2 linked regions of the Rattus norvegicus genome follow. The protein of the gene in region 2 purifies or fractionates together with the protein of the main gene of each other region. This does not show direct contact. Links are inferred from orthologs where the notes say so. Each region holds a gene or a part of one and is shown on either strand. Other genes may lie near its edges.

Region 1 (5,860 bases), on a different chromosome or scaffold from region 2:
TTCAAATCCCAGCAACCACATGGTGGCTCACGACCATGTGTAATGGGATCTGAGGCCCTCTACTTGTGTGTCTGAAGACAGCTAAAGTGTACTTACATATAATAAATAAATTAATTAAAAAATTAAATTAATAAATTAAAAAAAAAGAAAAAAAGAAATTGGCTCAAATTTTTATTCTTCAGTCTTGTCCCTTATCAATTATCCTAATGAATGTCTAGTGCAAAAGAAATTGTCAGAGCTGCCATGTGGGTCAAGCAGTGTAACAAATGTTTTTAAATTTATGTATGGCACTGTACATGTAGTTTGAAGAACTATATAAGACCTTTTTAAGTAGTGTACCACAGGTTTTTGTTTGTTTTGCTTCTTGAAACAGGGTCTATGTAGCCCTGGCTGTCCTTGCACGTGAAGAGATCTGCCTGCTCCTGACTCCTGATCATCAAGTTTGGGACCAAAGGCATATACCATTGTGGTAGCTGGCTGACTGTGCCACAGTTTTAACAGCTATTCAAATAATGCATTAGGCAGGAAAAAAAAAAAAAGACAAAAGGCAAAAGACGAAAAAAAAAACAAAAACAAAAACAAAAAACAAAAGAACAAAACCACAAAGGAAAACGAGCATCTGGGCAGAGGAGACCGGTACTGAAGCATGTGCGCTCAGACGCTCAGATCCACCATCCAACTCTGAGGAACTCCCTTACTGCCAACGCCACCTTTCAACTTGCTGCTTCTCAAATCATATGTGTAACTGGGGAAGAAGGAACAAAAGAAGCTAGGGGCTTCTGTCCAGTTGTTGCCTGTCAGTTGACTGCCATCTGCCTCCCTTCATGGCTGCTCCTAGACCTTGGCAAAGTGAGGACAAAAAGAGGACCAGGAATTTCATTTGGGCACCAATCAGACCAATGTCAAAACTAAGGGTAACGCAAACCTTGAGATATTGACAAAAGGTATGGAGATTAAAAGACTAGATTCTCATGACTAACATAATCATAGGAACAACTAGAAAACAAAGCATAGGCTGCCCAGTGGCGTCTGGAAACTCCTGGTCCACAGCATTAGAAAGCTTGCAGTGTTCCTTTGTACAAATCTTACTGTGCTGAGATTGCTCAGCGTTTCCTCTAAGAACTGCAAAACCACTACAGAAAAACACAACACAGCTGGCCATCAGTTATCAATCAGGCTGTGCAATGAAGGAAATTCGTATGTGGCTTACATATATTCTTTATTTGTGCTTATATAAACGCACACCTCCCCCTATGAAAACTATAGTCCCCTAATTAAGAACTTGAACAAGGGGGCTAGAGAGATGGCTCAGCGGTTAAGAGCACTGACTGCTCTTCCAGAGGTCCTGAGTTCAATTCCCAGCAACCATATGGTGGCTGACAACCATCTGTAATGGCATCTGACGCTCTCTTCTGCTGTGTCTGAAGACAGAGACAGTGTACACATAAAATAAATAAACCTTTAAAAAAACAGAACTTGAACAGTTAGAAACAGGATATAAAATATCACTTGCTTTGAAAAGAAGAAATAAACATCATAAAGTGGCATGTTAATATTTTTTATGTGTATTAGTCTGTGTGTCTTGTGAGTTTTGGGGATTTAACTCAGGTCCTCAGGCTTGGCAACAGGTCCCTTTACTCACTGAGCCATCTCACTCGTTCCTAAAGCAATGTTTCTGTATAGGTCTCGCTTACATACACTTAGCTGGGTTGCTTACTTTTTTTTCCCCTTTGAGACTGGGTCTAAAATGCTCCATAGACCAAGCTGCCATTGAATGCAGAGATCTGCCTGCCTCTGCTTCCCTGTGTGCTGGGATTAAAAACATGTCATGCCAATCAGATTGTTCACTTTTGGGAGGAGTCTCTGGAGACTGAACCCAGAATGTCACAAATGCTAGATCAAATATTCTGCTATAATTACTATCTCCAACCATCTTTTTTTTTTTTTAAGATTTATTATAAGTACACACTGTAGCTGTCTTCAGATACATGGACATCAGATCCCATTACAGATGGCTGTGTGCCACTATGTGGTTGCTGGGATTTGAACTCAGGTCCTCTGGAAGAGCTGTCAGTGCTCTTAACCGCTGAGTCATCTCTCCAGCCCCTCCAACCATCTTTTAAAAAGATGTTTTCTGAGATTTAAAAAAATTGCCAGGCTGATCTTGAACTTGTGGTCTGTTTGTTTGAGCTATTATTACAGATGTGCTGCCACCACACTCTGGAGAATGTTTATCTTTTCTTTTTGGTCAGGATATCACTATGCTAGCACGCTGGTCTGGAACTCTCCATATAGACCAGGCTGGCCTCAAAATTCACAAATTTACTTGCCTTCTGCCTTCCAAGCACGACTGTCCTAAATATTTCATTTTATACTTGAAGTTAAGGTAGTTTTTCATGTTTTATTTAGTCATTACGTCATGTTGTCTCATAATGTAATCCTAGTAGATTGTTTTCCTGATAGCATTTCCCTTTGGTGAAAGTGAAACTGGCAAGTGTTCTTAAACTATGCTGCTTCCGGTTGTGGGAGTACCTATTCAGGTCAGCAATATTTGAGTGCTTACCTTGTAGTAGGAACTGTCCCAGTGGTGGTGAAAACAAGTAAACACGACTCACCAAATACCTACCCCTGACTTCCAGGAGACAACCCACAAGTAAAAATAAATAAAAAATCCCGTAACTAAAACTGGGATCAGTGCTCTTTATGAGAAAATATTGGGGTTACAAGCTACTATGAAGATGGTCGGATAAAGTCACTCTGAAGTAGACTTGTGTCCATGTATGGAGTCAGAGTCCTAAGAAATACAATCCAGGTAGAGAATATGCAACAGAAAAGTTCATATACATTTTGGTCCGAGCTTAGGGAGCAAGTGACAAAAATCAAGCCCATAAACGTGACTAAGGACCATATCATACAGGAATTGTAGGTCAAGGAGTCTAATTTCTCTAAATTTAACCGAAAGTCATAGTATGACTTTAGGGAAGTGTAATACATGATTCGCTTTTCTTGGAAGGATAAAACGAGAGGTGCGAGGAAGGCTTTAAATGCAGAGAACCTTAAGTCAGATAGTCTTTGGCTTTCCTCATGCAAAGTGGCTTGAGCTAGAAGCCTATTTCTAATCACTGAGATCTGCCTAGGCGAGGAGAAATGGGATCACGGGACCAGAGCGAATGGCCGTGGAATTATCCTCATCTCCACCGACGCCCAGCACACAACCGGCAACCAGAAACTGACGCCGAGCGCAAAAGAATCAATGAATGGCCTGCTGAGGCAGCGCGGGGCGCGGGACCAGGCCTCGGCGCCGGAAAAGAACGCAAGAGGCCGCGCGCCAGGCCAGGAGAGGGGTCTTGAGGGGATAGCGGGGTCCGGCTCCGCCACGGTCTGCGTGTGGAGACTCCCGGACCTTGGGACTAGGGGCAGAAGCAGCTAGACTTGGGGCCCAAATCTGGGAACTAGAAAATGGGCTGAGACGGACATCCGGGCGCAACCACTCACCGCTGCCGTTGCCAGGCTGTGCATGTTGGGAGCGGGGGCCGCTCTACTTCTTCCGCTGGACGCGCCGGACCCGCGTCCCAGCTTTAGTGGCTCTGCAGCCGAAGATGAAGAGCCGCCATCCGTCTCCGGCTCGCTCCTCCCTCTTCGCAGCCCTTTGACCTCTCACCTCCGACCCTCCGCCCACACAGCCCTTTCCCGCCTCCTGGACCTCGGCCTAACAAATAGTCCCAAAGTATGTCCCTTGAACCTTCAGGTTCAGGATCAAAATGACGTCTGCAAACTACTGGTCCTCGTATCCCCCCGGCATCGCAAGTATATCCCCTAAGAAACGTGAACTCTGACTTTCCTCCTAAGGCCAGAGAAGGGCGGGAAAAGGCCAGCAGTCTTGGAAGGACAAAAACTGCGCATGCTCAAGCAGGCTGAGCGAGAGGAAAATGGTGGGAGGTCCAAAGTTGGTAAAGTGGAGAGTACGCATGTGTATTACAGTACAGTCACGACAGGGGCGGGGCCGCCCGGGTTAGGGGCTGGGCTTAGTATGGGGCGGAGCGAATGCTTGAGGGGCGGGACTTGCGCGCTTACGCGCACGCGCCTGGACTGGTTGCGTCGAGAGTGCGTGCGTCCGTACGTGTTTGCGTCTAGTCACAGTTCCCGCCATCAGAGGGTTTAGGTGTGCTAGGGGAGAGACCGGCCTCGCTGTCTGGGACTACGGGAGCTCTTTCCTTCCGAACCTCTTGGCCCCTCCCCCTCCGCGGGAACTTTATGCTTCCGGCATGTTTGTCCGGAGCTGGGACCCTCTGGCACAGGTAAGGCGAGCCAGGACAGCTTCTGAATTGAGCCGTTTTCCTCGGCACCCCCCCCCACCCTGTGCGGTCCGCCCACTCGGCGTCCACTTCAGAGTTCGCCGGGCTGCTTCTCAGCCCGCCCCGGGTCCTTGGACTCTCCCTATGCCTACAGGTGCCCCCATTCGAGTATTTCCTCTTTACTTTCTTTCTCTTTTAACGAAGTCCTTACTGTCACTTGCTTTCTGCATCCTAAACCTGGCTCCTCTTCACCAGGGTTCAGGTGGTCTCAGCTTGCCTCCTTGCAGGGCCTGCTGTCTTTACAGGTGACTTTGTTGCCACATATTCATCAAGACCTTGGATACGGTACTCACTCGCCCTCTTGACCATTCTTTACTTTTCTACTCCCCTTAAACATTACTCGCTAAAAGGGAGTGTAATTTTTGTCGTGCTTTGGTTGCTACCCGTATCTAGCCATGACACTGACGATGTCCAGTTTACCAATTTTAAATCAAGATCTGGCGAAAAATAGAAAAGTAATTGGTAATAAAGTTCCGTGTCGTTGGAAAGTTGTACTGTAGTGTTCAGATTTTCTTTTGGCGAGTTACGGTATCTAATGCGTCTATAGTTGAAAGAGCTAATCTAAGAGGGAATTGTTAAGAGGGCATTTGGATTTATTGGGTTAGGTATTAGAGGAGGATTCTGGACCAGACAGATAGACACTATTGTGCTTGTATGGTACGTTTGTGATTTGTCATGTTAATATGTGGGTGAATATCCAAAAGAATAGTGTTGCATACTGGCAAAAGGTAAAGGAGGGACTGAAAAATCCAAGGACAGATGTAATCAGTTGTCTTGATAAAAAAATTTTGGCACGGTAAAATAATTTAGTTTTGGACTGGGGTTCTCTTCTCTTGCTCTCCAAGCTTTAAATTCTACTATATGTTGATAAATTGAGGATTTTTATTTTCAGCTCCATATTCAAATAGCTGACTGCTTAACATCTCAATCTGATTTTTTTCCCTTAGGAATTTCAAATATGACATTTTAAAAAACTAGAGTCTGGATTTCTCTCTGTACCCAAATTCTCTTTTTTTCCAGTGTCCACTACCACAAGTGACGTGCTCATTTTGATGCCATATATCCATTTGTTTAGTTACACTGGGTAGAAACTTAAGAGGCAGTCTTGATTTCTTCATCCTATGTGTTCATATCCTTTCCAAGTTCTGTTTTACGTCAATATATGTTTTGCATCTATTTCTGGCCATCTTCACTTTTATTTTTCTAGTTCAAACCACGTTCTTTTTCATATGGACTTGATCTCCCTTGCACTTATTCTCACAGGTAAAATAGGAATAAGAGTTCTTATCTTAGCTGGGCAGTGGGAGGTAGGGGCAGATGGATCTCTGAGTTCAAGTCCAACATGGACTACTGAGTGAGTTCCAGGACAGCCAGAACTACGCAGAAAAACCCTGTCTCTAAACACCCACCCTGCCCCCAAAAAAGTTCTCACCTTAGTGGATTATTATGAGTGTTATAACTTGGTAAAGCATTGACATACAGAAACTGGCAAGTAAGAATTAATT
Region 2 (5,827 bases):
CCCAGGGCCTTGCGCTTCCTAGGCAAGCGCTCTACCACTGAGCTAAATCCCCAACCCCGCATTTCTTTATTACTTTAAGCAAGCATTACACTAACAGCTTCCAGTTGTTCCAGCGTGCACTCACTTAACAAGTCTCTGAGTCCCATTGCATAAAACGCTCTAGGCACTGAGGACAGGGAACAGGGCAGTCAGAATTCTAGCTTACAGTATGCTTTTATTTTTGTGGCACTGAAGATCCTAGTGTGTCGCCCATGTTAAACAGACAATTACTACTGAGTTAGTCCCCCCAGCCTTAATTCATGTTTTAGTCAAGACTGACAGAAATAGATCTATGCCTTCTTAGTGATAAGAAGTATGAAAAACAGAATTTTACAGAAACATAAAGCAAGGAGAGAGTGTTATTTATTAGAGTTCTCCTGGGAGGCTTTTCTGACTGGTAATACAGTTGATCTATGCTAGGAACTGAGCCGACTAACGTGCATCATTTCATTTAACTTCAGTAACTATGTCTAACGCTATTGCCGTTCCCATCACACAGGCGAGAAAATGGAGCTTAGGGAAGTTAGACTGCAGAGTCTGAAGGAAGGGAAGTAAGGATAAAGAACCAAGGTCTGCATTTTACAGGAAGTAAGGAAGCTAGGACTTCAATTCAAGAAAGCAACACCAGACTCATGTTCCTCCCCCTCTACATTATGCCACCGTACTGATGGATGAACAGCCCAAGAAGCCAAGGGTGGTGTGGTTACAAAGTAACAGGTCCTTCTGGCCTCCTTACTAAGAGATTAGTGCAATTCAATTTTCCTCTAATATCAGACTATTGCTCTTACTGTCAATTGAAAGCCAAACCTTATCTTGAAACAAGAGGAGAAAGACATCTGAGGCTCATAGAGGCTAGCTACTCAACCCTAAGGATGCTCTTCTCTCACTCTAACACAACCAACACCAGGCTTGCATACTTGGTTAATTCACCCAATGTTTCCATTCCTATCTAGAAAGCATCAACAGAACAAGGTGTGACTGGGCCAGCTGCCTGATAGGCCATAGCACTTCTCACAGGTGTGCTGGACCAGACTGGCAATGGCAAAGGAAGCCAGGAGTAAGGAAAGAGCAGCCTTTCAGCCCCATTTCAAGAAACTGCAGCTCTTCCTCAGGTCTCGAAGTACCACTGTGAGAGAAATGGGTTGTTTTCTTCAGAAGCAGAAGGCAGGACAGATAGAAGTATAAGGAACAGGTCACCCGGTTCTCTTGAAGGGAAGGAGAGGAAACCCAGGAGAAGTAAGCATGGAAGGAGGCTAACATACTTCATGGAGGGAAGTCCAGAAGGGAAATACCATGGCCAAGGTCAAACAGTAATTGCAGAATTGCTGGAAACGCCAAGATGGGGGCCCAGATAAAGTTACCAGAGAAACCAAAAGAAAAGAGAAGCAGAGGACCAAAGGGAAAAATCAAAGGTCACGGTCTGCACCTACCCACGGAGTAACAGTGTTTCTTTATGGTCACCACAGCCAGAGAACCTGCGCCCAGAGTTAATTAACAACTTCAATCTGCAATTGCATTCCAAATTCAAGCACATTAAAACTTTACTCAAAACCTGGACTTACATCTTATATCCCAATGGACTTGAGTATCCTAGTTTAAACACGGACTAAGCTTATCTCCTAAAGCCTTCTCTGTCAAAGTGCGCACACACACAGAGCGAGAGCGAGAGATAGAGAGAAAGAGAGAGAGAGAGAGAGAGAGAGAGAGAGAGAGAGAGAGATCTAATGCTCAATCTTGTTCTCCAGAAACCCAACGTTGCACCAGACAAATTATGACCTGAATGGCAAGGGAGGAGGGGAAAAAAAAAAAACAAAACAAAACTGTGTCACCTAGAGAAACCCAATTAACAACATGACTCTGCTCTCTTCAATTCTCTCTCCCCTCCAGTCATATCCGGGGCACTTGTGGGGTGGTTGCCTTTTCCCTGGTTAATTTAAAAGTCAGCAGACAATGTGTAGAGAGACCTTCTGCGAAGGTAAGCATGAGGTGGGGAAACCCTGCTCTATCTACACCTACGCAGGTTGGGAAAGCTCGAAGGGGACGGAATCCAAACACCACCTGGGAGAGAGACAGTCTGGAGTGGTTCACCTTGAAATTTCTATGTTGCCCTTAAGACAAAACTGCCCGCTAAAGAAAAACATACAAATGCTGCTGAATTGAAAATTCCGGAAGGAGAGAGAGTAAGTGCCCCACGTGGAACAATAAATGGGTTATTTGAAAGCATTCCTGACACAGTTGTTTCCTCCTAACCGCTTCCCTAATGAGCCCCTCCCTCCAACTCTCCTTGGCCTCCACTCCCACGAGTTTCCCCAAGTCCTCCCTACTGACCACAGGCAGCATGTATTGTGTGTTTGTACATGTATGTAAACATCGTCTTCCGGTCCGAGTTTGCGAGGAAATCCAGGCTTCCCTTCCTCCCACTGTGCACTTGTCTGTCCTCCCAGCCCCACGCGGCTGCAGAGTTAGTAATGTAATATTCAGGGACCCCGAGACCGGAAATGCCTGGGTCTGAAAAGCTGCACTTGAAACACGAGAAAAGGGATAAAGTGAACGTGGGATGTAGACGTAGGAGGTGTGTGGGGTGGAGTGAGAGGTGAAATGCCGACCAACTTGCAATTCAGGGGTAGGCGAGGAAGAAAACGAGGGATGAGGGGGAGGCTGAGGCAGTTGCAAAGTCAAAATTCCAGGAGCCAGAGGAGGAGGTGGAGGAAGCAGACATAAGGGCCGACGGGGTTGGGGGAGCAAGAAAGGCTCTGCAGGTGATGCAGGGCTGTGTTTAGGAATGCCAAAGGTGACCCTCAAACGCCTATAAAGGAGGGGACTCGGATCCCAGCAGCAAGGTAGGGGTGGTACGCAAGTGTGGGGGAGGGCAGCACAGGGTGGGGACCGAACCGGCTTCCAGAATCTCCAGAGGGCGAAAGCCTGGGCGGCGCGAGCCCCGGAGCCGGGCAGGGGTCGCGGGGGCGAGGCTGGGGGCGGTGCTCACCCTCAGGGCAGACAGGTCGATGTCGTCCAAGCTTCGGGCGGGGGCTGGGTCGCCCATGGCCGCCGCGGGGCCACTCACGCTCCGGCTCGCTCACTCCGCTGCCGCCGTTGCCGCTTCTCCCCCATCGGGGGACCCGAGGGGCGGGCTCCACCGCGCCTGCCCCGAAGGCCGGGGAGGGGGAGGGCCAGCGGGAGGACCGACCCAGCGGCTGACAGGCGCTCTGACCCGCGCGCCTGCAACCCGAGCCGCCCGCTGCCCTGCGCACGCGCGGAGCGGACCGTGACGCGAACGCGCCGGGCACCCCCTCCAGCGGGGTGCCGACACCTGCGCGCAGGCGCAGGAGAGCTGGCGGAGGGCACGCGCGGACCGAGCCTCGCTGGAACCTGGCTTGGAAGGAGTGCGCCCACCCGCCGGTGCGCGTGCGCACACACCTTCCCTTCCTTTCCCCTTTTATTATTATTGCTTCCTCTCCTAGTTCCTTCGTTGATCTTTACTTGACTCCTTTCCTTCCCTTTCCCTCTTTCGTGTGCCCAGCTGCCAATCAAACCACCCACCTCTCTATTTGCGGGGGAAGGGAGGCGGGACCGAACCCCCTCTATTACTAGGGGGGTTGTTATGGTAACTCCCCACGCGAGGGCTGCTGGCCTCTAGATAGGACGGGCTGTCCACCCACCCAATTGCCATGGTAACAGTGGAGCCGCTGAAGGAGGGGCCTCTCCGTGAGAACTTGGCTGGAGAAACCACGTGGGAGGAAAGGATGGGGTACTGTCTGCCCTTTACTCCCTTTTCTGGCTGGAGTGGGGATGTTGGGAGCAGATAGGCACTCCTACTGCACACGTTTATATCTGCTTCTCTTAGCACAGTGTTCTTCAGGAACTATTGCTGGAGTTGCTAGTAGCAAAGCAGAAGAAGAAGAAACTGTATCCAATCCCTTCAAATTTTGTTCCAGCTCCCTAGATTTCCTCATGTTGACACAGCACCTCCAGCCGGTTAGTCTCTCTAGAGGATGGATGATGCTCTGTAAACATAGACAGACATGTTCTGCCACTGACTAATGCGTTATGTGACCTTGAACAAGTGAATTTGCCTCTGAGCTTTTCTTTCTCTATTAAGTCCAGGGGGAAAGGTTCTGAGTGTTTCAAGAGCTCTTCCAACACTAATACTCCCTCTGAAAATTAACATAAACATTGCTTAGGTGAGCTTGAATTCTCTGGAGGCTTCTTGGCACATTTGGATGCACATTCAAACTTGCTCTGGATACTCTCCTGACTCTTTACCTTGCCCCTAATATGCAAGCCACAATCCCCGATTGGCCTTCCCACATAACCTCTCTGCCTGGCACACTCAAATCAATTCTTCATATCCAGAAGTGATTTTTTTTTCTAAAACCTTAAATCTGGCATCATTTTCCTGTTTAAAAACAGTTTTCTGAACCCCGCCGTTTAGGAAGCTGAGGCAGGAGTATTACATTTTCTATTAGCCTGGGCTATGTAAGGACTGGGAAAAAACCTGAAATAAATAAAAACACCGTTTGATGGCTCCCACTGCCTTGTGCGAGAGCAAAGATTTTCAAGATTCTGCCTGTTTCTCTGGATACATATACATATACATGTTCTTTTCTGGTCTTATATTTTAATAAACCACACTTAAACTTGCTCCAGATGCACTAAAATATACTCTACTTAAAGCTCCCAGAACTCAACATCTCTTACCTGTTTTTGCACTTATTTTTTTTCCCCTGGAGTATTCTCCAACTTCCAGCTATGCTGGCTACTTTTATGTCAACTTGACACAAGCTAGAGCCATTTGAGAAGAGGGAACCTCAACTGAGAAAACACCCTCACGAGGTTGGCCTGTGGGTAAGCCTGTGAAGCATTCTCTTAACTGGTGATTGATGTGGGAGAGCCCAGCCCACTAAGTGGTCCAGCATTGTGTAAGAGAGCAGGTGGAGCAAGCCAGTGAGCAGCAATCTTCTGTGGTCTCTGCTTCAGCTCCTGCTTCCAGGTTTCTGCCCTGACTTCCTTCAGTGAGGGAGTGTGAGCTGAGGTAAACACTTTCCTTTCCATGTTGTTTTTGGTCATGGTGTTTTATTACAAAGGAGAAATCTGACTGAGACACCAGCCATGACCAATCTCATTGGCCATTGCTTTGCCTGATCTGCTGGAATCACCTCTCTATGCATTTTTATTTATTTAATGTATTTATTTAATGCTCTGCTGCCTTATACACCCGCCTGTCTGAAGAGGGCATCAGATCTTATTACAGATGGTTGTGAGCCACTATGTGGTTGCTGGGATTCCTCTGGAAGAGCAGTCAGTGCTCTTAACCCATGAGCCATCTCTCCAGCTCCCTGAAATCACCTCTCTATGCATGTTATTTTACAATATTTTGCTACATGGATTTGTATGCATGCAGGGGTGCTATACTGCACAGTGTGTGGAGGTCTCCTTGGTGTGGTGGGTCAAACCTCTAATTTCAATACTCTGGAGGCTGAGGCAAAAAGATTCCCAGAAAGTACAGGCCAGCCTGGACTACTGAGTGAGTGCCAGACCAGCCTGTGTCCTATGAAGGCTTGTCTTAAGAAACGAACAAAAATCCAGGTGTGACGGGGTTGGGGATTTAGCTCAGCGGTAGAGCACTTGCCTAGCAAGTGCAAGGCCCTGGGTTTGGTCCCCAGGTCCGAAAAAAAGAAAAAAAAATCCAGGTGTGACAGTGCACACCTGTAATCCCAATGCCTGGGAGGCAAAGACTGGAGGATCACAGCAAATTGAGGGCCAGCCTAGTCTACACAGTGAATTTCAA

The links.
Region 1: the proteins of Mink1 (region 2) and Cnot9 purify together in Homo sapiens (affinity purification with mass spectrometry; 3 studies listed by BioGRID and IntAct, with this or other methods). This does not show direct contact. The link is inferred for Rattus norvegicus from reciprocal best matches to the Homo sapiens genes MINK1 and CNOT9.

The regions. Positions count from the first base shown.
Region 1 is NC_086027.1:83,531,445-83,537,304, reverse strand, and holds the start of Cnot9 (CCR4-NOT transcription complex subunit 9), read right to left. Parts: upstream 3,937-5,860; 5' UTR 3,520-3,936; coding exon 3,496-3,519; intron 1-3,495. UniProt on the Homo sapiens protein: Component of the CCR4-NOT complex which is one of the major cellular mRNA deadenylases and is linked to various cellular processes including bulk mRNA degradation, miRNA-mediated repression, translational repression during translational initiation and general transcription regulation.
Region 2 is NC_086028.1:55,774,460-55,780,286, reverse strand, and holds the start of Mink1 (misshapen-like kinase 1), read right to left. Parts: upstream 3,285-5,827; 5' UTR 3,083-3,284; coding exon 3,026-3,082; intron 3,020-3,025; exon of another isoform or gene 1-3,019. UniProt on the Homo sapiens protein: Serine/threonine kinase which acts as a negative regulator of Ras-related Rap2-mediated signal transduction to control neuronal structure and AMPA receptor trafficking.